Notamacropus eugenii: one gene and its partners. The protein of the gene in region 1 interacts with the protein of each later gene in a biochemical or structural test. Links are inferred from orthologs where the notes say so. Each region holds a gene or a part of one and is shown in the gene's direction. Other genes may lie near its edges. The genes, in order: LRP1, APBB1, PLAT and THBS1.

The links.
Region 2: the proteins of LRP1 (region 1) and APBB1 form a complex in vitro, tested with the Homo sapiens proteins (2 studies listed by BioGRID and IntAct, with this or other methods). The link is inferred for Notamacropus eugenii from reciprocal best matches to the Homo sapiens genes LRP1 and APBB1.
Region 3: the proteins of LRP1 (region 1) and PLAT form a complex in vitro, tested with the Homo sapiens proteins (2 studies listed by BioGRID). The link is inferred for Notamacropus eugenii from reciprocal best matches to the Homo sapiens genes LRP1 and PLAT.
Region 4: the proteins of LRP1 (region 1) and THBS1 form a complex in vitro, tested with the Homo sapiens proteins (3 studies listed by BioGRID). The link is inferred for Notamacropus eugenii from reciprocal best matches to the Homo sapiens genes LRP1 and THBS1.

Annotation. Positions count from the first base shown.
Region 1 is NC_092874.1:232,525,114-232,532,686, forward strand, and holds the start of LRP1 (prolow-density lipoprotein receptor-related protein 1), read left to right. Parts: upstream 1-4,319; 5' UTR 4,320-4,743; coding exon 4,744-4,876; intron 4,877-7,573. UniProt on the Homo sapiens protein: Endocytic receptor involved in endocytosis and in phagocytosis of apoptotic cells. Required for early embryonic development. Involved in cellular lipid homeostasis.
Region 2 is NC_092876.1:89,154,516-89,161,888, forward strand, and holds the start of APBB1 (amyloid beta precursor protein binding family B member 1), read left to right. Parts: upstream 1-4,060; 5' UTR 4,061-4,152; intron 4,153-7,373. UniProt on the Homo sapiens protein: Transcription coregulator that can have both coactivator and corepressor functions. Adapter protein that forms a transcriptionally active complex with the gamma-secretase-derived amyloid precursor protein (APP) intracellular domain.
Region 3 is NC_092872.1:618,372,001-618,379,553, forward strand, and holds the start of PLAT (tissue-type plasminogen activator), read left to right. Parts: upstream 1-4,166; 5' UTR 4,167-4,355; intron 4,356-7,553. UniProt on the Homo sapiens protein: Converts the abundant, but inactive, zymogen plasminogen to plasmin by hydrolyzing a single Arg-Val bond in plasminogen.
Region 4 is NC_092878.1:25,267,576-25,275,699, forward strand, and holds the start of THBS1 (thrombospondin-1), read left to right. Parts: upstream 1-4,722; 5' UTR 4,723-4,996; intron 4,997-5,719; 5' UTR 5,720-5,750; coding exon 5,751-5,817; intron 5,818-6,241; coding exon 6,242-6,801; intron 6,802-7,464; coding exon 7,465-7,540; intron 7,541-7,839; coding exon 7,840-8,036; intron 8,037-8,124. UniProt on the Homo sapiens protein: Adhesive glycoprotein that mediates cell-to-cell and cell-to-matrix interactions.

The DNA of each region.
Region 1 (7,573 bases):
TTCATCCCAGTTGCTTAGCTAGCTTAGATAGTCCTTAAGGGACTATCTTCTGGTACCTTTTGGAGGGGACTCCCACCACTCAACTTTGACTAAGACTTTACCATGTCTCTTTCAATTTCTGTTTCCAGGCAACAGACTCTCAATTTCTTGTCCAAGATTTCTCAGATTCCTCAATCCTGCAGACTCAACAAGACTAACCTGCAATAGGCTCCCTATTTCTTGCCCAGAGTTTCTCAGACCCCTCAAGAGTTTCTCAGACCCCTCAATCTTACAGACTCAATAGGACTAGTTCTTCCTGTGTTGCCCTATTCGACCACCCTGGGTTTCAAAATCAAAAAGGCTCACCTGGGTCTGTGCACAGACTTACGTGATCAACTGATCCCGAGAGTGTTTCTCATCCCCCTTTCGATCACTTTCTGCTCTCAGCTTCAGTCTTCTTTCAGATCCTTTCCCACCAGAGGAGGGTCACTCCCAAACCTGACTGAGGGCCTCCTACTAAACTTCGGTGGGACCTTCTGCCAGTAGGTCTGGGTTAGAAGGACCCCCTCCTCCTTTGAGGGTATCCCGGACGAGCTCCCAAAACTGTATGGGACAGAGATCACCACCACAATAAAGATCGGAGTCTGAATTGGAGATCAGAGAAGGTCTTTATTCTTTCTCACGAGAAAAGGCACAGCCCTTGTCACTCAATCAGTGGTAGCCAGGGAGTGTGCTCACTGGTGGAGGGAAGCAGATTTTTATAGCCCTAACACAAGTTCCCTATCCCCACTCCTTATCCGCTTCCCCACTGGCAGAGTACTAGGGATGTACAATCTCATCACAACAGCTACTTTCCAATAGAAACAATTATGCCCATATTTAGTGGGGCAAAGCATATGTATACCAGGAAGCAGGGAGAGTCACCACGTGGATTTTGAGGAGGCTATTGAGACTTACGATGGCATGCAGAAACTGAACAAAAGGAGAAAGTCCTTCTAGTCCCCAACCAAGGAAACTCCCACACTATGTCAATATAGGAGGTTAAAAAAAAAAGAGAAAGCAGACAAAGGCAACTAGCTTTCTAGATCAGAATCATGGAAGAAAGGTGGTAGACAGTACACCACAGAGAGAGCCAAGAGAGAAATATTCTGGATAAACAATGCTAAGCTCAATTTTTAAAAGTGCTTTGATTCTTCTCAGTTTCAAAGGTTCAGAAAAGAGTCAATCTCCTCAAATGCTCCTATAGGAATTCTATAGTGGTCCCCATTGGGTGTACAAGACCTTGCTCTCCTGGAGTTTGATGGGGGAAGAGGTTCATAGAATCATATTATATGAGAAGTAGACAGGTCCTCAAAGGTCATCTAGTCCAATCCTGAAGCAAAGATGCTGTATTCATCTTCAACAGGCAGTCAACCAGCTTCTGTTTAAATATAGTTCCATGCAGGCAGGTAGGAAAGCAACAAAAATTTATCAAGCACACAAATAAAACATTATTTGCCAGGTACTGTGCTAAGTGATAAACATACATATACAAGTAAAAAGAAAGATATTCCCTGCCCTCAAGGAGCTTATGGGACCAACACATAAAAGGGAACTTGAAAGTGGAAGAGGGGGAAAGAAAAGAAGGTATGAGAACACTGGAGTCCAGAGAAGAATAAAGCACTTAGCTTTAGGATCCATCTGGGACCTTCCCCAAAATGAAGGCCCAGGAAGGAAACATACCAGGAGGAGAAGAAAGCCATCATGGCATAGGGAAGTTCTGGAGTGAGAAGGTAACCCAAGAACGGGAACAAAATCAGGACAATTAGAAGCACAATCAGGAGGGGAAATTTTAAACTTCTACTAAATGCAAAGTATAGTTGGACATACTGAACCTACAAAGACGAAAATGAAAGTTCCCATCATCAAGGAGCTGGAAGTATATGACATATTCACAGATAGAAAGAAGGAAGAAACAAATGTTTCCTCAGATAGAAAGTGAAAGGACAAAAAATAGCTCCAAGCATGTAAAGATTGTTAGAAAAAGAAGAAGGAGCACTAATGGCTTAAGGAAGATCTGGGAAGGCTTCATGGAGAAAACAGGAACTGAGCCTTAAAGGAGGATAAGGAAAGGCAGAGCTAAGGAAAGACTGAATTTCAGCCCTCGGGGGATGACCTGAGGGAGTGCAGAGGCAGCAGATACCCTTCAAAATCTGAGGAACAGCTAACTGTCCCAGAACTTCAATAATGTGCATAAAAGAGGATAGAGATGTCCCTTTTCATATATTATCTTCTCTTTTTGTTCTTGTAATTTGTACATGAAAATGTTTGTTTGTTCATTACTAAGTTCCTAATTTTGAAAAGAATTTAAAAAAAAAAAAAGGTTGGTGGGCTAGGTTAGAGTCTAATTGTGCACATCCTTAAATACTACCAGACCTTAGTAAAAAAAAACAAATTCAATCTCATCACACTGCGTGACTCTGGGCTAGTGATTTCACCTGTCTACCTCAGTCTCCTCAATTTTAAATTGGCCATAATACTAGCAAATTCTTCTTAAGGTTGTTGTAAAGATCAAACGAAATATGTGTAAGGTGATTAGCACATAGTCACCTGGCCCTTAATAAAATATTTATTTCCTTCCTGTATATTTTAACCTAGAAGTAACAGGGAGCCACTTAAGGTTTTAAGCATGTGTCTTTATGTTGGCATCTGTGAGAAGGATGGACCGGGGAGATGAGACATTTCTAGACTAGGAAACAACGCCATTAATCAATCTATTCTGCTTTTTGGTTATTTCTAACAGTTGGAAAAATTTTCCCCATATCCGACTGCCACTCATTGGTCCTAACTCTTCCCTTTGTATCTGCTGTGCTTTCTTTGCTCAAACATCCAACAACTGGCTTCATAGTTTCAACATCTGGCAGGGCATTCCTCACTCTTTTTCTGGAGGCTCTTCATTACCACTCGACCCTCTCCATAATGTAAGGCGAAAAGACAGACCAGAAGGGGGCAATGGCGAGACGCACATTCCCAAAAGCCCGGAGCTCGAGGGACGTCTATTGCAAAAGACTCGGAACCTGGGACCACGGCTGGGCACTCAGGGATGGAAATCCAGTAAACCTAGAAATCCCAGACCGATCCTCAGAATCTCCCCCCCTCCCACTTGCCAATTACAAACCTTTTTTCTTGTGAATCTAGAACCCAGAGAGTTAGAGCTCTGGTCCCTAGCTTTCATTTCCGAAGTCACCTGGGAGGTGGGAAAAGCCCCAAACACAGACATTTTCAAAACAAAAACAACCACAACAAATGCCTCTGACCTCCCCGGGGGAGGCGGGGGCGCTGCCCGCCCCACCCATCCAGTGACTCACTCCCTTCCAAACAGCTCGCCCCCAAACCTGCCCTGCGCCAAGGAAAGGAGGGGTGGGTGGGCTAAGGGGGACGGGGGCGGGGAGGGACGGGCACTAAGGTGGGCTCTAGTCCTTAACCCAAGGCGAAAGTACAAGTTCAGTCGAGTCCCGGCAAATGTCCCTGTTTACTGGGAAGCCGAGAGCTAGGGAGGTGGGGCGGGGCCTGGGCGGTTCCGGCCCGCCCCCTTTGCCCCGAGAGCCAATCCCCTTCCACTTTTCCCAGAGCCTCCAAATCAATGCTCAACTTCTCCCAGTGCCTTCCCCACTGACTGGCATCTCTTCCCCAGCTCTCTACGGGCCAGGGATTGGGGGGGAGGGAGGGGGGGCGGCGTGTGTATGTGGAAGGGGGGGTTGGAAGAGGAGGACAGGGATAGGGTCAAGCTTACAGAAGGGTACAGGCCCAAGTCCAGAGAGGAGAATCTAGAACCCAGGACGGGGCTGAAATCCTGTAGCCCCACACCCTGCCCATCTATCCCCTCAGCTCTGGAAGACGCAGACGGGAGGTGATGGAGGGGAGGGGGGAGTGACGGCGATCTTAGAGCGAAGTTGGATGTGGGGAAAGAGCGAAGGGGTTTGTAGTCGGGTTCGAATCCCGGCTCTGTGATCAGTTTGATCATTGACAAGTCACAGAAATGTCCGGGCCTCAGTTTCCCCATCCGTAAAGTGACCGAGCTGGAGTGAATGTCCCTTCTAGCTTCAATCCTATGATTCTGTGTCTTGGCCCGCGGGTCCATGGCACCGCCTCTCTGGAACCGCTTTCCAAGCCCCTCGGCCCTGCCACTCCTCCTTCTCCCCCTCTTCTGGAGGGTGAGGGCGAGAACGGCGCGCATGCGCACCAGGACATTTGCCGCGTAGCTAGCTCTCCCCCTCTTTTTTCTCCCCGCCCCTTCCCCCTCCCCGCCCCCTCCCTCTGCTCCCTACCTCCCACTCCCCCCTTCCCTCCCCCCGCCCCCCCCCGCGCCACCTCCATCCCGGGAGCACAGGCGCGAGCTCAGGGCCCTTGCACTGAGGAGGAAAAGAGGGGAACCCTCCAGCTCTTCTAAAGCTGCGAAGGACCCCCCTTCCTAGGCTCCCCCACCCCGTCCACGCCCCCCCATCCCCCCCCGCCTCCTCCCAATTGTGCATTTTTGCAGCCGGAGGCGGCTCCGAGATGGGGCTCTGAGCTAAGCCCTAGGCGAGGGGAGAGCCAAGAGAAGAGGAGGGAGGGGGGACCTCGAGGTGTTCGATTTGGGGGCGCATCCTCCCCGCCAGCCAGCTCCAGCAGAGGGGCCCTTAACTATTGCCTTCTCACTACCCCCCTCCTCCGATCCCAGAGCTCGCTGGGCTTTGCGGAAAGAAAAGACAAAAATAAAGGCGGGGAGGAAAACGGGGGACCCCCATGAAGGGGGGCACAGTCAAGAAGGAGCCCGATTGCGGAGGAGGGGGCTGTTTGCACCGGCCCCGCACCACCATGCTGAGCCCGCTGCTGCTGCTGCCGCTGGCTTTGGCTCTGGCCACAGCGGCGATGGATGGTGAGTGAGAGTCCCCCCACCCTCCCCCCTCCCCCGAGGACGCCCCCTCCCCAGTCCCCACCTCTTACTGCAGAAAGGGGAGGGAGTCGCGGAGTGGGGGGGCCTTTTGTTATCCGGGTCCAGCTGACACAGCAGCGCCCCGGCTGGGGGCTGGGAGCAGGGGTCTGGGTTGGCTGGGGGTGGGGAGCCTGGGTGGAAGATGCTTCCCGGACCCCCCCAGTTCAGACAAAGACTGGCTTGGGGGGCAGACCCGGCGCCCGCTTAGTGCCACCGAAGATGAAGCGAGGCCTATGCTGTCTCTATTTCTAGCGGAGGACGTGTCCCGGCCCCCCCCCCCCCATCCCTATCTGAATTGTGAAGGAATCTGGATTTGCATTAAACATCTGCAAAGGGGGGGGGGAGAACTGCTCGGGCGGGGGTCTGCAGTGCGTTTCTAATGCGTAGAGGGAGAAAGCCAAAGGGGGAAGTGCTTTTCCTTGGTGCCCACATTGGGCAGAGGTGTGAGGAGAGGAAGAGGACTTGTGTACTAAAAGATGGACTGGGCCCTGGAGCAGGGGTGGAGGGAATGGGTTCTAGAAGGACTGGGTTCTAGCCTAGGCCTCCAGGGTTCCACATCTTTCTTTCTACACTCCCCCTTTTGTGGGCCTCTATCTGTAGCCGGGGTTGAGTGGAGCTGTATGGGGATAGAGGTGGGAGGGGTGGGGGGTTATTACGTTACTTCGAGTTTCTCTTCTTAATTTCTGGAGGTTTGGGATGAAACGTCAGACGTCATCAGTGAGGAGAGGGGCTGGGAGTCGGGTTTGGATCACTGAGGTGGGGGCACGGAATGCTTTTCTGGTACCTTCACACTTTGGACTAGGAGAGTTTAGGGATGGGAGGAAGGGGGAGTATGCCGCTGCTGTTTTCTGTTCTGCAACTTAAGTGAATTTGTTTTTAATTTCTCCCCCCCTCCCCCTTCTCCCTTTGCATAATGCAGACATCAGCTCTAGCCGGAACTCTATGTGCTTTAGGGAACTGGGGGTGGCCTCTTGTTCCCTCTCCTTTCCTCCCTTTTGGCAACTTTTCCTATTTAACCCTGAGTCATGGGTTCAAGTCTTGTCTTAAGTCAAGAATAGGGACGGATAGGTTGGGGGTTGGGCTGGGCAGAACTGAGCCCCACTGATTGAGTGTATGTGGGGTGTCTCACCACCCTTTTCCCCCAGGGGGCTCCATACTCTGCCCACAGCAAGAAATGACCCTCCCTCCTCAGGCCCACCACACCTCCACCCCCACTTCCAATCTCCAAAACTTTGCCAAGTTTGGGGTTGGGAAAGTTTTTCTCAGAAATCCAACTGCCCTGTCCCCCTCCCCCTGACCTCAATGGGAATCAAAGACCCTCTTACTTTGGTTAAGAGTGAGGCAGGAGAGGAGAGGAGAAGTTTGGGGAGCAGGGAACCCACATAGAGAGGGGGAATATTCAATGCCCCCTTCCTCAATTATACCATCCTTCAGAACTCTCCTTCTTTGGGCTAGGAGGAAAACAAAAACAGAAATTGCCCAGTTTAGAAGAAGGGAGAATCTCTGCCCTCATCTCTTTCCAAAGCAGCCTATATCTGCCTGCTGTACCCCCCAAATAATTATATTTAACTTTTTTTCCTTCAATGAGGAGGTTTGAATGCTGGGAAGCTGAGGCAGAGGGAATTGGGACACCTGGTTCTGGGAAAGATTAGGAAGAATCAGAAAAGTCAAGACAAGAAGAGGAAAACAATTTGGTTGGGGGTGTTAAGAGGCTGGAGGGGCCACTATGGGGAACACAAAACATCCTGAGATGTGTTCAGGGGCCCAGCTGGAGTTTCACAATGGGATGAGAAAGTGACACAGCTGTTCTGTGTTCAAGGGCTCTAATGCTGGCTTTGGCTACCCGCTCTGGAGCGTTGGGGGGGGGGGGGGGGGGAGAGGAGGTATGTGTTACAGAGACGTTCAACTCTGATCGAAGTTTAGAAACTGTTCTCCCTGACCATTCCTTTTCTCCAATACTGCCCCCTCCTCAAATTCCATTATCTCAGACTGTGCCCAAAAGAATGAGATGAGAGAAGCAGTTGTAATATGGAAGGAGAGGTGAACGAAGTATGATGAAGTCAGCTATGTAACTATGGGCAAATTATTTCACTTTTTCAGACCTCAGTTTCCTCACTTGTAAAATAGTGATAATAACACTTGCACTATCTACCTCACAGGGCTCTTGGGGAAAAAGTGGTTTGTAAACTCTGAAGTGATATATAAATTCACATTGTTATTAGGGGGAAAACTTTTGGATTGTCACCTTAAAAGTCCATGTTGTTTTGGCTCTGTGCCTCAGTTTTCCTCCTTAGACACTTCTTGACATGAGGGTTAGGAGGAGGTTCTCCTCCTCTCTGAATCAACAGAGTAGCTGAGGGAAATGTTGATTGGAGTTCCTCCTCCACCACCCTGTGTTTATTCTATACTGTACCCCATCTCTACCTTCCCCACATTATCTCCCTCTTCTCCTTGTCCACCCCCAGCCCTGAGCCCAGACCATAACTCATCAAGAGCTGTCTTCTAGTACTCCTACCTCCACCTCACGCCTATGTCAAACTGGGGCAGGGAATCGCCATCCCGAACGTACATGTGCCCCTCACTTTTGGGAAATTTTCTTTCATATCTAAACATCTTCTCAGCCTCTACCTTCAGTGGAGA
Region 2 (7,373 bases), on another chromosome or scaffold:
GGACAAAAAAACAAAAATGAAATAAGGAGCTTACATTCTATTGGGCAGGGGCAGGGTGGGAGAGACATGAAGCCACATAAGTATAAATAAAACAAATGCAAAATTAATTAAAGGTTATTTTGGGAGGAGGTTGGGGAAAGCTCCAGTAGCTAGAAGAAACAGGAAAAGCCTAATGTAGAAGCTGGTATTTGGGCATAAATTTGAAGGAAAATAGAAATTCTAAGAAGTGGAAGTGAGGAAGGAATAAGCCAATCTATGCAAAGACAAGGAAATGGGATAGGGAATGTCAAGTGTGAAGAACAGCAGAGAGGCCAGTTTGGCTGGATCATAGATTGCGTGGAGGAAAGTAATATGTGATGAAACTTGAAAGATAAGTTGGAGTCAGGTTAAGAAAGACTTTAAATGACAAAGGAGTTTTTGTTTTATCCTAAGGGCAATAAAGGAAGCGAGGGAAAGGGAGAGAGAGAGAGAGAGAGATAAAGATATATCTATAAATTACCTAAAATGTGCCAAGTACTGTACTAAGTACAACAGAGTTCATTGAGTAGTATAGTGACTTGCTCAGTCTTGTGCTTTAAGAAAATCACTTTGGCAGCTGTATGGAGAATGCACTGGAGAGGGGAGAGACTTCTGGATGGAAGACCAATGTTGTAATAGTCTAAGTGAGAGGTGATGAAGGCCTGAACTGGAATGGTGGCTATATGAACAGAGAAGGCAAGTGAATACAAATACTGGTGTACCTATAGAATCCACAAGCCTTGGAAACTGGTAGAAAAAGTGTGGAGGAGACTGGGGAGTTGAGGATGACTCTAAAATTATGAATTTGGATGACTGGAAGAATGATGGCACCCTTAACAGAAACAGGAAGGTTGAGATGAGATGCAGCTTTCCAAAATTCTTGACAATATAACACAGAACCATAGAATATCAGAGCTGGCAAGGATATAAGAGAGCAGTTAAGCCCACATTTTATAGATAGTGAAACTGAGGCCTAAACAGTGGAAAAGATTTCTCCATGGCCACACCGCTGTAGAAGGCCCTTATATCTAATGTCCAGTATTCTTTTAACTTCAATCACCCTCAAACTTGCTTTTGAAAAAGATTTCTCCCTCAAAAAAATCATCCCCAGAAGACACTTTCCTATTTCACTTTCCTATTTGCCTTTCCTTGGCTCTCCTTTCCATACCTGAACATAGTCTTGTTCCCTCTATAGACTCCATAGTAACAGTCATATTAGCACCCTTCTTTCCTAGTAGTGAAGGACAGAGGATAGTGGAAGGAGGACCAGATACAAGTCTCATCCTCTTTCCTAACCTGCTCAGCTCTGGCTAGAGAACTAAGAATGTTCATTGCAATTGTGTTAAAAAAAATTCTTCTTGCCTGAAAGGGAAAAGGACTTATTTGTACAAAAATATTTAGGGCAGCTCTTTTTGTGGTGGCAAAGGACTGGAGATTGAAGGGATGCCCATCAGTTGGGAAATGACTGAACAGACTGTGGTTAATTGATTGGGGTGAAACTACTCTTGTGCTATAAGAAATGCCCATGGGAATGGTTTCAGAAAAACCTGTGAAGATTTATACGAACTGAGGCAGAGTGAAGTGAGCAGAATCAGGAGAACATTGTATACAGTAATAACAATATTATAATGGTGATCAACTGTCAAAGACTTAGCTACTCTGATCAAGACTGATCCAAGACAATCCAAAGGATCCATGAGGAAAAATGCTATCCACCTCCAGAAAGAGAACTAATAAACTCTGAGTGCAGATTCAAGCATACTTTTTTCAATTTATTCTTGTGTGTGTACGCATGCATGTGCACATGTGTTTTCTTTTGCAACATGATTAATGTAGAAATATGCTTTGCATTACTTCATATGTAAAAAAAAAATTTTTCATGCCTGGTATCCACATAACTTGCTGTGCACTCCCTCCTCCAGACCATTAAAAAATTCACCAGTCCCTGAGGAGTCTAGGTTCTTGGCACTCTGTCACTTATCTAAGTGCCAACTTAACTCTAGTACTCTCAATTTCATTCCATTAAAATTAACAAACATTGTTTTAAGCACCTAATATATGTTTGATGCTGGGGATACAAAGATAGCTGTGACAAAGACCCTTTCAGTGACAGTATCTGGACAGTGCTTAGCATATCGCCTGGCACATAGTAGGCAATTAATAAATGTTTATTCCCCTCCCCTTTCTTTACTCTTCTCTTCTTTCATAGGATCATAGATGAAGAGTTGGAAGAGACTTCAGAGGCATCTTGTCCAGCCCCTTCATTTTATAGGACTGAGGCCCAGAGAATTTAAGTCATTTACCCTAAGTCACACAGATTTGAAAGGCAGACAGGATTTGAAAAGTCCTCTGTCTCCAAAGTCAGGGCTGTTTCCATTCTATAGACCCTACTCTGAAGGACCTTACAGATGTAGTGGGGTGAAGGATAAATGTACATATAACTTAGTGATAACAGAGATAAAGTGATATGTGTAAAAAAGCTATCCAGGCAAAGTATTATGAGAAACTTAAGGAGAGAGAGAGATTATTGTATATTCTGGCGTGGGAGTGAGAATCAAAGAATGTTTCATGAAGGAGATTTCATGAATTGAGACTCAAAGAAAGGGGTTGACTTTAATAGACGGAGCTGGGGAAACAGTCCCTTCCAGGAAAAAACACTGAGATGGGAGAGAGGAGGGAGGGAGAGAGAGAGAGAGAGAGAGAGAGAGAGAGAGAGAGAGAGAGAGAGAGAAAGAGAGAGAGAAAGAAAGTACTCCAGTTGGGCTGTACCACAGGTTATGTGAATTGGAGTAGTATGACATAAGACCTGGAAAAGCAGGTTGGAGTTACACTGCAGAGAAACTTGAACATCAGGTTAAGGTGGTTGTACTGTATAGTATAGGCTATGGTGGGGGGTGGGGGGGAGGCCAGGAACTCAAAAGCTAAAAAGAAAAGGAATAGGAAGATTATTTTAGCACTTTTGTGAAGGTTATGTTAGAGAGAAGAGTGAGTGGAAAACCAGTTAGGAAACTACCACAGTAGACCAGTCTAGAGATAATGAGGGCCTGAACAGAATTTGAGAGGTAACCTAGTCTAATCCACATACCAAAAGAATACCTTATTATAACATACTCAATATGTTGTCTTCCAATCTCTGTATAAAGACCTCCCCAGGAATGAGAATTCACTGCCTTTCTAGACAGCCCACTCCACTTTGGGTCAGCTCTAACTGGTAGGAAGTTTTCTTGGTATCAGACCTAAAGTGGCTTCTTCTTAACTTCAGCCCATTGCTTCTGGTTCTAACCTCTGGGGCCAGACAGGAAGTTCAATCCCTCCTCCATGTGAATGTTGGAAGAGAACCATCATATCCCATCTGACACACAAATAAAAGGAATCACCATCACTCAACAAATGATAAAATGAAGACTTATAGAAAGTATTACATGGATAAGAGGTAGCTAGATAGCATAAGTAGATACAGTACTGGACTTGGAGTCAGCAATACCTGAATTCAAATTTGGCTTTAACTACTTACTAGCTATGTGACCTTGGGCAAGTAGTCACTTAAATCTCTGTTAACCTCAGGCTTTTCATCTGTAAAATAGGGATAATATCTTCACTTCTCAAAGTTTTGTGAGGATAAAATGAAATAATGTTTGTAAAGTACTTTGCAAACCTTAAAGTGCTATATAAATTTTAGCTTTCATTATAATTACAACAGTACAAATTATTCATTACAATAGTTCCTATTCAAACAAGCTATTGATAATGAAAAATAGGAAATGGATAAAGATAAGTATTATGATAATGCTGCAAAGAGGTGAGCCCAGGAAATAGGAATCATATCTTAATTTGGGGAATTACATTCCCTGAAAGCCTGTGTGCTAGATGAGCAGCTCTAGTAAGTCTGGTTTTAAACAGTTAATAGGAATCTTATGGATGAAGCAACTGGAAACCAAGACAAGAACGACCAACCAGAAATGTGGATCAGTGAGACCTGACACAGTGGCAAGAATGGAAGCCACTAAGGGACTAAGAGAGAGTCAAGTACTCTAATGAGAAGTATGCTTGTGGGGTGACCTGATTGTACTCGTCAATACTGACTTTCAGGCAGTATCACCCTCCAACTGTGCTGAGGAGACTGGAGGGTTAATTGTGAGTATGATTATTGATCCCTTAAGTAATACTTGTGGAAGAATGGGGATCACAGCCATTTAGCAATGACTGCTGGGGAGTTTAATATCTGATTTAATTCCACATTATCGCTATTTCATTAAGTGCTTTGACTTTGAATTTGCAGTCGTAAGATTTGATTTAGTTAAAAAAACAAAACAAACAAACATCAGTGGGGCTTTTTTAGTTTTAGGATTAAATAGACTATAACCTTAACAAGGCTTGTAATGATTAGAGAAAGCATATCATAGGCCTGGGGAATGGGTGGAAGGAAGTGGAGAAGGGGCCACACTATAGAAAAAGATCCCAGGGATTTGAATATATGCGAGATGATCTCCTATGGGTTTGGGATGCTGTAGCATTATAAGGATAAATTAAAGATTTTTCTTTTTGTAATTCTCTTCCTCCCTTCCTACCATGCTGTGAACAGACAGCAACGTTTTTTTGATGTGACTTTTCTAAGCCAAACCATTGATTTAAAATAATTATATTGCCATATTGAAGTTGCTATTTGCTGGAGGGATATCATTGAATTGTTATTGTTGGAAGAAATTAGGTTTAGACCAATGCATTACACCATATACTATAATAAGCTCAAAATGGATATGTGACATGAATATTAAAGATTGCAACACATGCAAAAAAGAAGAGAATGAGATCAGATACCTTTTATAGCTATAACTGGGGAACAGCTCTTAATTAAATAAAAAGATCAAATCGATACTTTTGATTATATGAAGTTGAATAGTTTTTTATGAGCAAAATCAGTACAACTAGGATAAAGATGGAGACTGTCAACTGAGGAAAAATCTTTGCATCAAATATCTGACAAAGGTCTGCAATGCATATGCATATATATATGTCTCTCTATATATATTCACACACACAGAATATATACAGACTAATACATAAGGTTAAGAGTCATTCCTCAATGGCTATATAATCAAAGAATTTGAACAATTTTCAGGAGAACTGCAAAATATCAGCAACCATATAATAGATTGCTCTGAATCACCAGTCATAATTAAAATGCAAATAAATCAAAACAACTGAGGCTCTATCCAGAGTTGCTGGATTTACAATGAGCAAATTTGCCAATATGATAAAAAAAAATGTGAATGTCCAATGTTAGAAGGATGAAGGAAAGACAAGTACATTGATATACTGTTGGAGCTGTGAATTGGTTCAACCACTCCGGAAAGCATTTGGGAAATAAAAATAATGATGATGATGATGATGATAAATAGCTAACATTTCTATAGCATTTACTATATGCCAGGTACTGTGCTAAGTGCTTTACAATTATCTCATTTGAGATATTATTATCTCCATATTATTATTATTATCTCACAATATTATTATCTCCATTTTACAAATAAGGAAACTAAGGCCAACAGAGGTTAAGTGACTTGCCCAGGGCCACACAGTTAGTTAAGTGTCTGGGGCTTCCTGAACTTAGGTCTTCCTAACTCCAGGTCCAGTGCTCTATCCACTGCACCATCTAGCTGCTCTAACTAGGGGCAATTATGCAAGGGAACAAAAAGTGACTAGAATGTCCTTTGACCCAGAGATCCTCTGCTAGGCATAAACCCTAAGGAGGTCAAGTATTGAAAGAAAGTACCACATAAACCGAAATATTCAGAGCAACATTTCTTTTTTTTTTTTTTTGGTGATAGCAAAGGACTAGAACAAAACGGATGGCCATAAATTAAGGAATGGCTAAACATATTGTGGTACATAAATGTCATGGAATACTAAGCTAAAAGAAATAATAATAATATGAAAAATTCAGAAAAGCATTAGAAAATATCAATTGATGTAGAGTGAAATAAGAAGATCTAGGAAGACAATATGCCAATGAATATAAACATGGAAATAATTGTATAATGTGCCTTTCCTATCAGGACACTGGGTTAAATAATTGGCTAATTGGTTTATTGGAAAAGTGATGTATGATAATAGCTCTGGACCTTGAATGGAGACTGTTGGTTCAAGGAATTCCTCCTTAACTGTGATGATAATACAAATGATGCGGCTTTACACATGCAATATGTAGTTACTTGGGAGGAATCTCAGGGAAAACTCAATATGTGACAAAGGAGCTGTAGCAGCATTATAGAAACTGCTTGATATTGTCAATCATGCCAGTTTCCCAAAAGATGTAACTGTGATGGGACTGTTCAGAAATTACTATTAAATTTATTTACTGCTGTCCAGGAGCTGATGATTATTTAAAGCTTTCCTGGTAAGAGACCAAGAGAGACTATGAGCGAATACGAGAGAATGACTGGCAAAAGCAATACCATCCTCAGTTGTTCATGATTCCAAGGCATCCCCTTCCCCAACAGTCAACTAGCATTTCTTAAACAGTTACCGTGTGTCAGGCATTGTCCTGTCCACACTTTTACCAGGAACTTCCATCTTTGGTTTACTGTATTCAGAAGATGACTGATGATGAAGCGTATGTTACATGCAATCTGTATGTAGTCTTAATGTTTGATACTCTATGCCACATGTAGTTCTATATGTTGTATTTCTGCATGTAAATTATATGACTAGACCATCCTATATAATTCTAAAATGTATGTTTCATACTATGTACCCACATATAGCCTGTATATTTGGGATGATTACCTGTGACTGTGTTATTTACCAATTAATTAATACTTATGCTATATACTCAGATGTATCCATGTATCTAGTGCGATTTTTTGAGGGGAAAAGAATGTAGAGGGTTCAACCCATGGGACAGATGCCTTGCTTTATTTTTGGGAACCATATCTCCCAGAAGCCTGTGTGCAAGCTGAGTGGCTTTTAGCAAGCCCCATTTTTAATGGAAGATATAAAAGGCTGGGTAGAAAAAGAGTGGATTAACTTGAGATCAGGCCAAGACGCAGTCAGTGACTGGAGACTAGGAACAGAGCCACCAAAGGTTTGGCTAGCAGCGAGTGACTAACATTCAAGGGAGGTATGACTTGAGACTTGGCCAGGAAGAGTAAAACTAAAAACCCAGAGTAATGTAGCTGGAAACCAGGGAGGTCAGAGAGAGAGGATTTGAAGAGAAATATTTATATTTTGGGGGGGTCAAGGGAAGGCTTCTTAGAAGAGGTGGCACATGAGAATCTATATAGGCAAAATGAAAACTAAATGAATTAATGAATGAATGAATCAACCAACAAATATTTAAATACATACACATGTAC
Region 3 (7,553 bases), on another chromosome or scaffold:
TAAGTGTTAATAGTTTTTAATCTAAATCCAAAAGCAAACATTATATTTGGTAGAAAAAATTATAGGTCTTTCCAGTAAAGCAAGGAGACCCATATCACCGCTACTATTTAACACAATACTAGAAATGCTAACTATAGCAGTAAGACAAGGAAAAGAAATTTAGGGATTAAATATAGACAGAGAAAGAAAGTTATTTTTTTTTTGCAGATGATATGATTTTCTTAGAGAACTAGAGAGTCAACAGAAAACTAATTGGAATAATAACTTCAGAAGAGTTGCAGGACAAGATAAAATCAGTGTAATATATGATGAGTGCACAAGACAATAACAAAATAGTTTATGACATCTGAGGTAGAAGGAGGAATTTCCATCTGGTAGAATCAGAGAAGTATTCTTAGAGGAGGAAGCATTTGAGCAGGGATTCAAAGTACAGGTAGGATTGCAACAGACAAAGATGAAGGAAGAATTTTCCAGGAGCTGGGAGGGTATGAGCAAAGACACAGAGCAGGCACAGCATGGTGTGTGTACAGAAGATGGTGAGCAACCTGTTTCATCTGTATCAAAGACAGGAGTGTGCTAGATCTTATTATTATATTATTATTAAAATATCAAAGTGAGATTAATACCTTAGAAATCACTACAAACCAAGTCTTGATTTCGTTTTATTGATTTAATAGACTTAAGAAAGTGATAAAGAAAATGTTAATAATACAAATTAAATTTGAAAGTATGTCCTGCTACAGCTAGGTAGCATAGTGGAGAAAGCACCAGCTTTGGAGTCAGGAGGACCTGAGTTCAAATCCAACCTCAGACACTTGACAGTTACTAATTTTGTAACCCTGGGCAAGTCACTTAACCCCACTTACCCCACCCCCAAAGTGTGCCCTGTATACATTTTTTTGAGAACCAGTTGTCAAGCATTTACCAGCACAATCCTGAATAAGGTACTTAAAGGAGAGCAGATTGAAATAAACCAGGAAAGGGAAAGATGGTGCCAGCTCATGGTAGTCCCTAAAGGGATTAAGGGACTTGAACTTTATTTGTAGACAATAGTAATTCCTGACACTTATATTTAAGGTTTGCAAAGTGCCTCCTACGTGTTATCCCCCAATCTTATGAGGTAGGTATCAGAAGTATTATTACTCCTGTTTATAAGATGAAGACACAGAGTTAAGAAAGTTTAAATAATTTGATCATGGACATGCTACTAGTAAATGTCAGAGGTAATAATGAAACCCAGGTCTCCCTAACTCCAAGTCTAATGTACTTTCTATAGCATCATGTTCCGTGAATGGTTTTAAACACAGGAGTAACCTGATCAGAAAAGTATTAACCTGGCAGGGATGGAAAGAATGGAATGGAAAAAGCAGAGGTGGGAAGATAGAAAGCAATATTATTTTACACAGTAGATAGTAGCCTTAGGGGATTTGACACCTTGAAGCAGACGTGCATATTGAAAATATAAATAAGTTCATGAGAGGATCCTTGCTAACAAAGTGGCCATCCAGCTTCCATTGGAAAACCTTCACTGATGAGGAACTCACTACCTTTAACACTGCCTATTCTGCCACTTCTGGACAACTCTAATCATTAAAAAGTTTTCCTTCTTATGAAGTCTAAATCTGCCTACTGTAACTTCTACTTATTGGTCTTAATTTTGTTTTCAAGGATCTAATATGATCCCTCTTCCTTGTTTGTCACTGGTCTGGATAAAGATTTAGGAAAATCCATGCTAGAAAGATACTAAGGAGATTTCAGAACCATAAAGATCCATTCCCCTCAACACCATTGACTACCAGAATATACTCCATAAACTTTGAAGTCAAACGCTCTTTTCCCTCTTCCTTTTCTGTCTTAAGCCACCTTGTCTCAGCCCCCTTGGTTTACCCACTTCTCTCCTTCAGGTTGCAGTAGACATGATGTCATTTCTTTTTCGGATGATTAGGGTCTGATTTTAGTTCTCCTTTCTAATGCCATGTCCTGTTGCCTATTTAATTGATAATTGGGGCCCATCACTGTTAGTTGTTCCCCACGATGTTGCTCTGAGACTATGACTCATGGGACCTGTGGAGAGGAAGGTCATGGAACCACAGAAACAGTGCCAAACTTGGGAACTCTTGAGAGAGCACTTCCTTGCCAGCTATCCTTTGTCCCAGCACTCCTTAGGATTCTATTTGGTCTTGTTCATAAAATTATCCTTGATTATTTGAAATATGTATTGTCTGACTCTGGAAAAATCATTCTTTCTCACTGGGGATTTGTTTTCAAGGTCACAGAGGCCAGGAAGGGGCTATGTCGACATCCTGCAAATCACATATAGAGTAGACACCTGGTTCCTATCATTTTTAACCTCTTTTCTGTGTACTTTTGCTTTCCTCCCACATACTCTGTCATTCCCCAAAAAAAATTTTTTAAAAAAGATCTGTAATTTCGCTAGTAAGCAATAACACACACACAAAAAGGTTTTTTAAAAGTGAAATTCCCATAGACTGTGATTGAATTAGGCTTAATTTTCATTTTTTTCTTCTCGTCTCTCCTTCTTTGTCACAATTAAAAGCAGGATTCATTTCTATTAATCCAGTAGCTAATAATTCAGTATTATTCTAAAGTGCTCCTGGAATTCTGCTGGGGGTAGGGAAAACCATCTCATATTCATTGGAATGTGAGTAATTCCCTTTCCTGATTTAGCCAACAGAGCTGCTCGGAGATCTGCATGAGCAGCATCTGGTAAATTCAATTGCACAAACATTTAATGAACAACTTACGAGTGTGAGCACGGTGCTAGGCCCTGGAGGGGGAGATACAAGCTTTAGATGAGATGTAGTCCCTGCCTTCATCAAACTTATAGATTTGTAGAGTCAATCATAATACTCTAAATAACATGATAGTATAAGATAAGGTGCTATGAGGAGTCTCAGACAGAAAGTTGTTGCTAGCTTCATGGTGCATTTAAGTTGGGTTCTGGTAAGATAGGTAGATCTTCAGCAACTGAAGAAGGGGAGGGGAAGGCATTCTGAGCATAGGGAAAACCATGAACCTTGTCTGGAAGCTATTAGAGAATAGGTCAATTTGTCTGGAGTGTAGAGGTGTGGAGGGGAGTTATCAAATAAAGCTAAAATGATGGTCAAGGGTCAGATTGTGAAGGACCTTGAAGGTCAGTTCTTCTAATTGCTGAAATGCTAATTGTTAAGTCACTTAATAGATAATATTCTCTCCTGTGAAAAGCTCATCATAGCTCACTTCGGATGGCTGCTCCAGCTTGCTAAACACCTTCTATTCCAAGGTGCCCCCTTTTCATGATGGCTCTTTACAAGCAGATCTTGCCAAATGGGCAAAGAAGTCTGCCGTTGACAATTTTTTTTTATCCTTTTATCTCTCCTATGTCTCTTTTCAGGGTTCCTCTCCCTGAGCCCACAACTATGGTCTCTTTCCAGTACTGGTACAGGCCCCTTTAGGGTATTGGCTGATAACCAGATAACCTAATCCCAGAGGTATTCACATTTTTAATGTGAAATTCTGGAAAATTGAAAAGCCGCCAAGAACAAATAGAATAACTCAAAGGGTGGCATTTTAGGCACTATGACAGATGGTGGGAGACACTTTGGGGTGGGGACCTTGCTTTAGTCGTAGGTGACTGGCAGTGTGGTGTAATGGAAAGAACACTAGGCTTGGGTGGTCCTGCCCTCTGAGTAACCTTGGGCAAGTAATTTCCTGCCTCTGGACATCAGTTTCCTCCTCTGCCAAATAAGATGATTGGGCTAGATGACCTCTAAGGTCCCCTCCAGTCTATGACTCTATGGCAGGACAACATTTCCCAGTTGTCATCTGACCATTGCCTGCCCCTCCTCTCGGTGGTCTCATCCCTTGGCTCCATCTGGCCTTGCTTGCTATCCTATCCTTGAATTGGTGGGCCTAAACCTGTCCAACCCTCCACCACATGTCAGTGGAGGCCAGGTAACTGCAGTGGGACCCCAGGTCTGGACAAAGAAACTTCCCAGCACTTGTTTATTTATATACTTACTTAGAAATCCAAGTGTGTCTTTACAAAATCAAACCCAGTGAATAATACAGACTGGCCCAAGGCCAGACAGAGCAGGCTAGGTTGGCTATCTCATACTTCCTCCCCCTCCTTAGCAATAAAAGCAGGCCCGCCCCAGCTTGCCTCCATCTCTCCAGCCTCTCCACTGGGCATTCTCCTAGAGGGGAGAAACACGCCCACTCCATGCAACAGACCCCACCTCTGTCACTGGAATTTAAAGGAGCCGGGAGCTGTTCAGGGAACTCAGAGCTGAGATTCAGCCACGAGCCTGGAACTTGGCAGAAAGTCCTTGGAGAGGTACAGGAGACCAGGAGAGGTAGGTCTTATGTATTACATATCCACTGTCTGTTAGCTGGGCTCCTCTTTTCCCTTTGCTAGGCATCCCGAGGAAACCCCAACAATAAAGGGATTTCTGAAAGTTAGTATTAGCTTTGCACTGTGGATAGAAGGAGGCTGAAGTGGGACCTCTTTCATACAGCTCTCACCATTTGCCCTGGGGCTTACTTAATGCAGTGTTGGGGCCATAGTAGGGGTAATAGAGAGTGCTGTTTACATTAGGAAGGAAGGAAGGAAGGGAGATAAAGAGAGAAAAGAAGAAAGAAGGGATGAAAGAAGAAAGAAGCACAAAGCCAGTCCACAACTTTCCAGTAGTTCTGTGGCATGGGTAGGAGAGTTTAATAGGTATAACCCTTGGAGAAGAAGCCTCTGATATGCAGAGTCAGGAAAAAGTGAAAAGCAGTTTGCAAAAATGATGTGCAAACACTTGATGACTAATGAACCTGAAGTCATCTTCCTCCGGGACATTAACATGATGCCAGTTTACCTGCCTGATACTGGCTGGGTGTCTCCTAATTAGCAGAAGGAATTGGAAGGTAAAGGGGGAAGGTGAACATCTCTTTTGCATGATTGGAGTTTCCTGCTGAGGTGTGCTAGGTAGGGGAGTGAGGGGGTTGGGAGTGGAGGGGTGGGCAGGAGAAGTGATCTGTACACACAAAGACCTCTGGGCTCGTTCCCCAGATTTCCTCCTCATGTTCCCTCCTTTTTGTCTCCAACTTTCTTACCTGGATGATGATAGACAGGGTACTTTAAGGATTTCTCTCTCTAATTGTGGAAAAAAAAATAAGCTGAATAGCCTTTAATCATATAGCACTTACCCCCTGGAAGCCTATAAGCCTCTCTAGATTTTCACTCCTGTAATCTTTCATTTTCTTAACCTCCCAAGGAGGAAAGGAGGCAAACATACCTCAGTCCTCAGACCACTGGTGGCGAACAGCATGAAGGAGAACAGTGGTTCAAGTGGTTCTAAGGTCAAACAGTTAACTTGGTGGTAGATCTGGACTGCCAGCTGAGGTCTCCTGACTACTTGATAACAGCTCAAGCCACTAATGTGGTCTTTCATTCATTCTCTTCCAAAGAAAAAAAAAACAAAAAAAGAGGAACAGGAGAAAAGGAAATAGTCTGCTAATAGTTTTTTATATTTTCAACCCAGTGAAGAATACTCTCCCATTCCCATGGATATTTGGGGGCATCTGAGGATCTAGACATTTGGAAGGTCTTGAATCAATATGTGAACACTTAGCTTAAAAAAAATGCTTCCTATTGGTGCATTAGTCAGGACACCTTGGCTATTGAATTATAAATAGCACCTTTCCTCCCTTCGGTGTGGGCTAGCCTTCCTTTTCAAAGATTCCAGCTTTAGAGTCTCAGAAATTTAACCCAAGCAAATAGTAGCTTTCTTTAGCCCACACTGCTCCTTCTTAGTCCTGTCTCCCCTAGGCCATTTCAGTTTATCTCCAAATGCCTGGAGCCAGTTTCTCTCGATACTCGAGATAATTTCTCTTTTGTAAGTCTGGCCTTGGTGGAAGTGATCTGTGCTCCTCTGGGACGTGGTGCAGTATCATCTGAGATAGAGAGATGCAGCTTCGAGAGCATGAAACATAGACACGGCCAGGCACTGCAGAACTTTAGGAAGTCTGACTCACCACCTTGTAAATTCCTGTTGGTCAGAGGAGCCTTACTGAGTAAATGAATGTTGATTAGTTGAGCAGATTATAATAGTGCTATCAGCTCTCTCATCTGGTGTTTAAGTACGATCAGCTAAAGTCAAGTCTACATGAGGCCAAACATCTGGGGGAAAACTGAAGAAAGAGATTAATTCTATAATTAGATTCAATGTATTTATTAAACATCAGGTTGAAATGTACAGCAAACAGTTGTTGATGAAATATTGGAACTCAGGAGAGAGTGATGAGGGCTGGATATGTAAATTTGGAAGTCATCTGTACAGAGATGATCTTTGCATCCACAGATAATGTTGTGATCACCAAGACAGAGAGTGTAGAGAGAGAAAAAGCACAGGACAAAGCCCTGGGGTACACTCATTGATAATAGGTGCGTGCTGCCAAATGCCAGCCTGCTCTCCTCAACCACCAAAAAATGTATCTGGCCCCTTCCCCTACCTGAAGGCTTTCAGTTTCTAGCCTGCTCAGAATGGATAGGTGACTTGTCCAAGGTCATCTAGGTTGTAAATATCCTAGCCAGGATTTGAACCCAGTTTGCCTGACTGCAAAGCTTATGTTCTTTCCGTTATTATTCCTCAAGATCAGTACTTGGTCCTGTGCTGATCCACATTTTTATCAGTGACTTCAATGAAGCTTAACAAGTTTATGAAATTTTCAAAGAGCACAAGACTTGGAAAGCATTAGAAAACTCTGTAGAAGCTAGAGCAGTTTAGTCAGTCATTAGTCAATAAACATTTATTAAGTGCCTACTGTGAACTGTGCTAAGCACTAGAACATTGGGCCAAATCTAACAAAATTACATTTAATTGGGATGAGTCAGGTTTAGAAAATTAAGTCTACAAGGACAAAATAAGGGTGTCATGACTAGGCAGCAATTTGTTTGAATAAAATCTGAGGATTTTAGTGGAATGTAAAGCTCTGTATGAGTCAATAGGGTTATATAGGGAAAAAAGTAAATAAGTGGTAGCAAGCGTGCATTTTTAGTGCAATGGGCATTAAAAAAAAACAAAACTTGTATAATCTGGGGTCAAACTAAGAGATGCAGAACTAGGGATGTGATGAGTCCTGCCATATGCCACCTTAGTAAGACCATACTCGAGGTGTTGCATTTAGTTCTAGACATTTTAGGTAGCCAACCAGGATGGCAAAGAACCTTGAGATCGTGCTGTAAAAAGACTGACTGAAGGAAGTGGAGATGTTTTACCTGGAAGAGAGAAGGCTGAAGGGGGTATATGATAGCCATCTTCCAGTACTGGAAGACTATTCTGTGGAAGAGTAATTCCATTTGCTATGTTTGCTCCCAGAGGGCAGACCTAGCTAGGATCAATGGGCAAAAGCTGTAGAGAGGAAGGTTTAACTTGATATGTGTGTGTATCTCTATCTATGTATCTCTCTATGTATCTATGTGTCTATGTATCTATGTGTCTATGTATGTATGTATGTATGTATGTATGTATGTATCTATCTATCTATCTATCTATCTATCTATCTAT
Region 4 (8,124 bases), on another chromosome or scaffold:
TAGCAGCCCACCCTGTGTGCTACTATGGTTGCTAATACAGTGACTTGCCCAGGGTGGCACAGCTAGTAATTGTCTGGGGTTAGATTTGAACTCAGATGAATCTTCTTGACTCTAGGTCCAGTACTCTATCACGGGGCCACTGAGTTGCCCACAGAGAGTGTAAAAAAGCAACCAAATGTATATTCAAGTCCCCTTAGTGTAAATCCTGGCAAAGCTAGGATTCACACACAGGCCAAGAGACTTAAAGTTTAGTGCTCTTTTCCCTCTATTATGCTGTGAGGCACAGGTATTAATATCCTCATTTTTACAGACATAAAAACGATCTTGGAAAGTTTAAAGTGATTTATCCAAGGTCACCTATAGGTAGCGAATTGCAGATTCAGACTTGGGTCGATAGAAGGCAACACAAAGCCAGCAGCTTCGTGTGTGGCACAGACTCCAGGGGAATGTCTGAAAGAGGGGAGATGAGCTTCAGTCTGAAGTCATGAGGAAAGCAGCATATGGAAAGCTTCATGAGGAAAGCAGCTTTAATCAATTCTTATTCACTGACCAACTTGAATTGGGCCTTGAAGAATGAGTAAGACACAGAAAAACCTGGCTCTCAGTCTGAGCCGGTCGGGCTGAACCATTAAGTAGGAAGAAGGAAGTAGCAATAGTCAACAGAGGAATGAATTCACTAGACTACTATTTCTTAGAGGCTGTGGTTTTTGCATAATTATGGCACACAAAAATTCTGGTTGATGATCACTTCGAAGAATTTTTGAAGAGTGAAAATCTCAGGCATTTAAAAAATCCTTAACAAAACCTCGGAATGTTTGGGCATTTGGGGAATTAAAAATATACATATTTTTAACTTCAGTATCTTGCCATCCTAACTCACATGCAAATTTAAAACTAACTTTAACTGACAGTCCTTTTTCCTTCCTTTCTTTACTGGCAGCAGAGTTCTTATGTCAACTCCACCTCCAAATAGGGAAACTTAAAAAAAGAAACTTCATGATGAAAATGTCATTTACTTTGTAATTCTGTTAGTTGTGGGTTATGCTAAGTAATAACTTAGGGCCATGACAGCCCAGAAAAAGCCTGATCCTTTCTTTTGCTGGAAGGGCCCCTCATTCGTGTTCATTTCAATTCATTTGCCTGACAGGCCAAAACCTCACAGAGGATACAGTGAATTGTTTCCCAAGAGTAACATACACCAGATTCTCACTTCTTTTTTCACTACTGTTTGTCCAAAACTGTATATGGGGTTTCTGGGAAATACTCAATGGCCTTGGGCGAACAAGAATTTGGGGGAGCTCCTGGCATCAGTATACAACCCTCTGGTTTTTCTCTTCCATTGAAATAAAAAAATCATTAACTATTGACGAGATGTTTGGGGCTTGAAATAATACAACTAAGATGATGTAATCCAACCCCCTCATTTTACAGAGCACTAGAAAGGTTAGGTGTTTTACTCTAAATCCTATAGGTAGTAAGAGATAGAGGTGAGGTTGAAATTCACTCGCTTTTGGAATCTTTTGACTCTAAACCAAATACTTTTTCAGCTACACAACACTCATTCTTTGTGAAACATTTAGAGGATATAAATTATTACCTTGATTTTGCTATGGACACTGAGAGCTAAGAAAAGTCGCATGACACCTTTAAGTCATTATAGTTAAATATAACTGCTATCTACTATCTATCTAGATGTAAAGGATTTTCCCAGAGTCATGCAAGTAGTAAGTAGGGAGCTTGAGGGCTGAACCAAATGGATATTTAAGTTTCCTAGTAAAAATCTAGACAGAGTCAGGATAGATAGATTAGAGAGATAGATAGATAGATAGATAGATAGATAGATAGATAGATAGATAGATAGAGATAGATAATCTTATTTATGTCAGCCTTAAAGTTTGTATTTTGAAAACTAGGACATGAAATAACTCTTCCAAGAGACCTTTTATATAAATTGAAGTTGGAAGTTCAATGTCAACAATATGAGGAATTCATTTAGAGAGTTATAAGAACAACTTGACAGAAATTATACTATATTAACATACTAATATATGATATATATGTGTGTGTGTATGTATAGTCTATAGGATGTTATGTGTGTGTGTATCCTTGAGGACACATAAATGTAACAAAATATTCTCCAGAATGTGTGTGTATATGTATATATATAAAATATTCTCTAGGAAATATATCAATATATGTATATAGATAGACATATACATACACACATATATAATCTCCTGAGAATTTTTTTTAACTTGGACTACTTGGGGATTGCCAATTCCCATCCCCAAGCCAATTTCTTAAGGCAAGGGTGAGGAAGATTTAGTGGACAGCAGGGGGATACTTGTAAAGTCCTCCTCCAGTGTTATAGAATTACCATCGGAAGATGCTATGGATCAGGGGCAAGTCACTAGCTAACCATCCCTACAACCTAAAATCATCTTTCCTCAAAATCAGGTGTCATGAGGTATTAGAAGCCAGTCACCAAAAAGTGGCCTGAGTAGTCTGCTTTAGTTTCCAAAGAAAGAAATGAAGTTCCACACAAGTCTCAGGACTGTTCAGGTGAATTCTTATTCAACTGCCATTAGGGGTATCCTAGCCCATTCAGAATCTCATATTTTAGCTTCTGAAAATCTGAAACCCATCGGGCCAGCAAGTTCAGTTAACGATTCAGACAACCACACAAATGTGTTGCCGACATTTGTTGTCTCTCGGACTGGTGTTTGTTCTCCAAATTGTGTAACTGGAGAGCCATCAGTCCAGCTTGCCTCAGAACCCTCCTACTCAGGAAAGTGAAATCTGCGCTGTGATTAATGTGAAAAATGGATACTTCCAGCAGTTACTAATTTGACCTGGTGTCAATGAGGAGGCGGCAGAGATGGAGGCCCTGGATTTGTACTGCCCTGTTTTTCAGATCCTTATTTGGTGAAGGCTGGCTTACCTGTGTCTGTGTGTATGTTGGAGCCAGAACAGTTAACAACGTTTCGGCTCCGGGGCCCAATGACAGCCCGGAGAAGGGAGAGGCAGCAAAGGAGCGACTCCTGCCCCCTTCGCCGCCGCTGCTGACGTCCCAGCCAAAAGAGATGAATGGGATTCCAAACCACTGGAGTCATGCTGGCTTGGGACAGTTTCTTGGAGACCAGTCTCCATCCGAAAGAGACGTGAGGCAACAACAATGCTAACGACCGATCGTGGTCCCACAAAAATGTCACAACGCACGCCCACTTACGGGAGCCCAAGAATGAAAGGAGCTAGTAAAAGAGCAGGCAGGGGGAAAAAAGCCATCGATCACCTGGTGGATCTGGGCTAAACTCCCGAAGCCAGGTAGCTCTGCGAATTATCCACCCAGGAGTCACGTTTTAAAAGCACGAGTAGGCAAAAGAAACTGTTTTTCCAGGATTCAACTTAATTTTGGTTTCCAGAGACGGGGGGAGGTAGGATGGAGCGGGGGAAGAAGGAGAAGTGAAAGTTTGGTTCAAGATTCCTGGCTAGAAAGAGAAAAAGTCCTCCTGCGGTTCCCTAATAAGAGTGCGCTTACCGCCCCCAAGTGGAAACTGATCAAAGTGCTGTCTCAGGCTATTGGGGGGGGGGGGGGAAGGAGGGGGTCGGGGACACAAAGTCAAGTCCGCAGCAGCCCAGGCTCAGGGGAGAGTGGAGAGGAACCGCTCCCCGAACTAGCAGGGAAATGGGAAGGGAAGCTCAGGGAGTCAAGGCTCAGCTCCCACCCCAGGGGAAGACCCTCAGCATGGCGCGCCACTGAACACCTTTAACTACAAATGAAAGGTGTAGGTGCTGAGAGAATTGGGGTTCAGCCAGGCCGAATCACCATGCAGGGAGATCGCAACCTGAACGCTAAGAACGAGTGTCCCAGAAAGTCCCGTTATCCGTTCTTTCCCAACTGGCCCAAGCCACCTACAGTACTGAGACTACTGGGATAGTCTCAGTGTCCTTGTCCCCTCCTTGCCTCCTCACCTCCTTCTTCCCCTTCCTCATGAAGCAGTGTGGTGCGGTGCAGGGGGTCCTGGTTTTGAAGTCAAAAGGCCTGGGTTCATATTTTGACTACCACTTACTACTTCTTTGACTGGACGAGCCACCTCCCTTCTTTGTATCTGAGGGGCAAGGGCTCGAGGGACTTGGACTCGATGGTTTTCAAGATTCCTTACAATCCTAAATCTATGATCCCTTAACCCCAATCCCCTTTAGATTTCAGCGTTCTGTCACAAAGCCAGCCGCACCTAGGGACACTCTTGGCAGGGTGTCAGACAAGGGAGATCCAGTCCTGGATCCCCCGCGTATACGAGGCAAGTTATAATGCGTGTCTTGTATACTGTAGGCGCTTATTAAAGGTTTGTGGAACTGAATCGATTTGAATTGGAGATTCTGTGAGCCAAGGGGAACCGAGAACACAATAGAGAGTTATTATGTGCTCTCCAGAGAAGTTAGCGTGGTTCCCTCCTCCCCAGACACCCCGGGCTTCACTTTCTAGCTGGAAAGGGGTGAGCCTGCCCGCCCCCGGCGCGGGAGCCCGGGGAGGAGAAGAGGGGGAAGAAGGAGGGGGGAGTGGGCCGCCGGGGGAGGGGGGGGGGGAGAGAGGACGGGGAGGAGGGGGGGGCCAACCCACTCAGACTCTCCCCCGCCCCCTTCCTGCCCGGACGCTTCCGATTGGCTAGCTGGAGTCCTCAGGAATGTGCGCGACCCTTTAAAGGAGCACGACTCATCCGCTTCTGCAGTCACTGCACCGGACCGGGGGAAGCTAAGTAGCTGAAGCTGACCCTGAGGAGCTCTCCCTGTCCCGACCGCCTCATCTCCGCAGCCCCTCTGCCTCCGGGAGCCTCCTTTGGACCGCTGGAGGATCTCCCACAGCCTGGACCTGCTCTTGCTTCCCAGGACTTAGGCGCACCAGCTGCGCTTGGAAGATAACCAAAGGACTGTGCGCTCCCTGGCCCCATCCCTGTAGCGGAGGATCGTTAGAGTCCCGGCTCCTTAATCCACACAGGTAAGATCGTAGCCGCCTTCCTCCTCTGTTGGGACCCTGGGCACCCAGCTCTGTTCCTTCTGAGGATTTCTCAGCAAACTAAAATTTCACCAGTATGCTCCCACCCACCACTTTGAGGGGAAAAAGAAACACCTCAAGAACTCATCCCATTCATCAGAAACTGCCCCCAAGATTATTCAATTCATTCCCCCCTTCCCCATGGCCTTTCTTCCTCGGGTCCCTGGGAGTGCATCCCAGACACCTCTGAGAAACTCAAGGGCAACCTCAGGAGACAATGGGACTCAGAACCCCAACTCCACAAGGAAGTCGCAATATTTCACGGACGTCCAAAACATACTCAAAAGTGGGGTCTCTTCAGTCGTTTGACAGTCATCCAGGCTATACAGCTTCTCTCTCAAAGTGATGTCTCCCTCTCTGTGTGTTTATCTCAGGGATCCATTATCCCAAAGTTTTTTCCAAAAAAAGTTCCCAGGGTTTTAGTGTTTCCCCTACAGGCCTCGGAACACTTCTGTCCCATTCCATAACGTTTTTTTTTTTTTGGACTGGACAGTCTAGAACTTCTCCCTCAAGCAAGTTTTGGGAGTACAGGGAAATCTGTACATCCCACAACCACAACCCCCACACCAGCGACCTTAGCTATTTCCCCTTCTCTTATGTCTGCTTCCCTCTGGGAGGTCTTCAGAGTTTCGCTGTCCGACTCTGACTGTGCTCTCTCTGCTACAGGCTTTGGATACTAGGCACAAACAGCTCCATCATGGGGCTGGTTCGGGGGCTGGTCTTCTTACTGCTTCTGGAAATGTGTGGCACCAACAGGATCTCAGGTGAGCCTTTGCCACAGCCGGCAGGGGGAGGTTAAGAGGGTGAAATTGGGAGGGGTTGAATTCTAGGCCATTTTAGGCAATGCTTTTGTAGGGTTCCTAGGTACTCTAGGTCTGCCTGGAAAAAAATATTGAAAAGAAAAAATGCAGGTACTGGAAGGCAAGAATGAGAACTCTGAATATTGAATATCCAGATTAAACATAGCTACACAGCAGAGGGTATACTCAACCCCTCTCAAGGTTGAGTGTTTTCTGGAGTGGGAGCCCTGATGTCTGAGATGCTTGTGTACTCTTCTGCCAGGATTTCATCCTGTGTCTTTTGCTGTTTAGTTCACTAAGGCTACAGTAGGGCAACTGAGAGCCTGGCACTCTTAAGTCTAGCACACCCTATTTACCACTAACTGCATATTCTGCTCCTGTTCCATAGAGTCTGGGAGTGACAACAGTGTGTTTGACCTCTTTGATCTCCCTGGTGCTGCCAACAAGGGCTCTGGGCGCCGTCTGGTGAAAGGTCCTGATACCTCCAGCCCTGCTTTCCGAATCGAGGATGCCAATCGAATTCCCCCTATGCCAGATAACAAGTTCCAAGACTTGGTGGATGCAATCCGAGCAGAAAAGGGCTTTATCTTCCTGGCCTCCCTGAGGCAGATGAAAAAGACCCGGGGCACTCTGATGACCGTGGAGTACAAGAATCACTCTGGCCATATCTTCAGTCTAGTTTCCAATGGCAAAGCAGGCACTCTGGACCTGAGCATGTCAGTGCAGGGGAAGCAACAAGTGGTATCAGTGGAAGAAGCTCTCTTGGCCACCGGCCAATGGAAGAATATCATCCTGTTTGTTCAGGAGGACCGGGCCCAGTTGTATGTAGATTGTGAAAAGATGGAGAATGCTGAACTGGATGCCCCCATTGAAAGCATCTTCACCAGGGACCTGGCTGGCAGTGCCAGACTCCGTGTGGCAAAGGGAGATGTCAATGATAATTTTCAGGTGAGATTTCTTTTCCTAATCTAAAGAGAATTTTCCAACTGTCTAACACTGCCAAGAGAATTGTTGAGACCACCTGTAGGTTATTGCCAAGTGGGGGATGATTTTTAAATATAGTATTCTTATGCAGTTATCTATCTTATTTGCCCAGCCTCTTGAATCTCTTTATGTTTCTCCCCATTGAGATAAGAAGAGGCCTGTTACACATAGATCTGACATGCATTTTAAAGTGGGACGTTTGTAACAACATAAATAACTTGACCCTATTCTCCCCTAATAAAGCAACTCTCAAGCTCAGATACAGTGTTGAGTTAGAAGGAATGGTTTTACATGGCTTGTTCCTCCACAACGATTAACCCTTTGGCACATTGGCCTGCACCATTACCTGCCTTGCTTCATAGCATCTCTGGTATTCACCATAAGATTTTAACTCCTGAATGCCTAAATGGGCTGAATTCTCTGAAAGATCCTAAAGATGAGGCAGTTGTTGAAATGCAGGCAGAGGGCACTGGGATTTATGTTGACAATTTATCCACCATGTTAATATTGAAAATGATTATTTTGTCCATAAGATGATTTAATTTGCAACGCTGTAAATTTGAACTTTTGGGGTGATGAGTGAACATTTCTTGTTTGCACTAATTATCGTTCTGCCTCTGCCACCAGGGGGTGCTGCAAAATGTGAGGTTTGTCTTCGGAACCACCCCAGAAGATATCCTAAGGAACAAAGGCTGTTCAAGCTGTAAGTTTGCTGCTTTTTTTCGCTGGGAGACAGGAAGGGAAGAGGGCAAAAAAGTTAAAAATAGAAATAGCCACAATAAAAATCACTTAGAGCAGGTGAGATAGGTTTGGAATGGGAGCTGCGCATAAGCTGCTCATACCACATTCCTCTTTTACATCTTGGAAAGATATGAAAATAACCTATAGGCAATATTCATCCTGACAAAATTGTACCTTGGTAAGTTAGAACTGTAGAGACTGGCACATATCGCCATTTGGAGATGCCCTGTAATTTCTTGCCTTTCCTTTATTTCTTGGTAGCCACCAATCAAATTATCACACTTGACAACCCAGTAAACGGTTCCAGCCCTGCCATTCGAACTAACTACATTGGCCACAAGACCAAGGACCTGCAGGCAATCTGTGGCTTCTCCTGTGATGAACTGGCCAACATGTTCCTGGAGCTTAAGGGACTGCGGACCATAGTGACCACATTGCAAGACAGTGTCCGCAAGGTGGTAAGTGACAGCAGTCACTGAAGGAGGTACTTCCGTGAGGCCCCTAGGAGATGTTTCTGAACAGCTGATGCTAATAATGTTTGTTTTT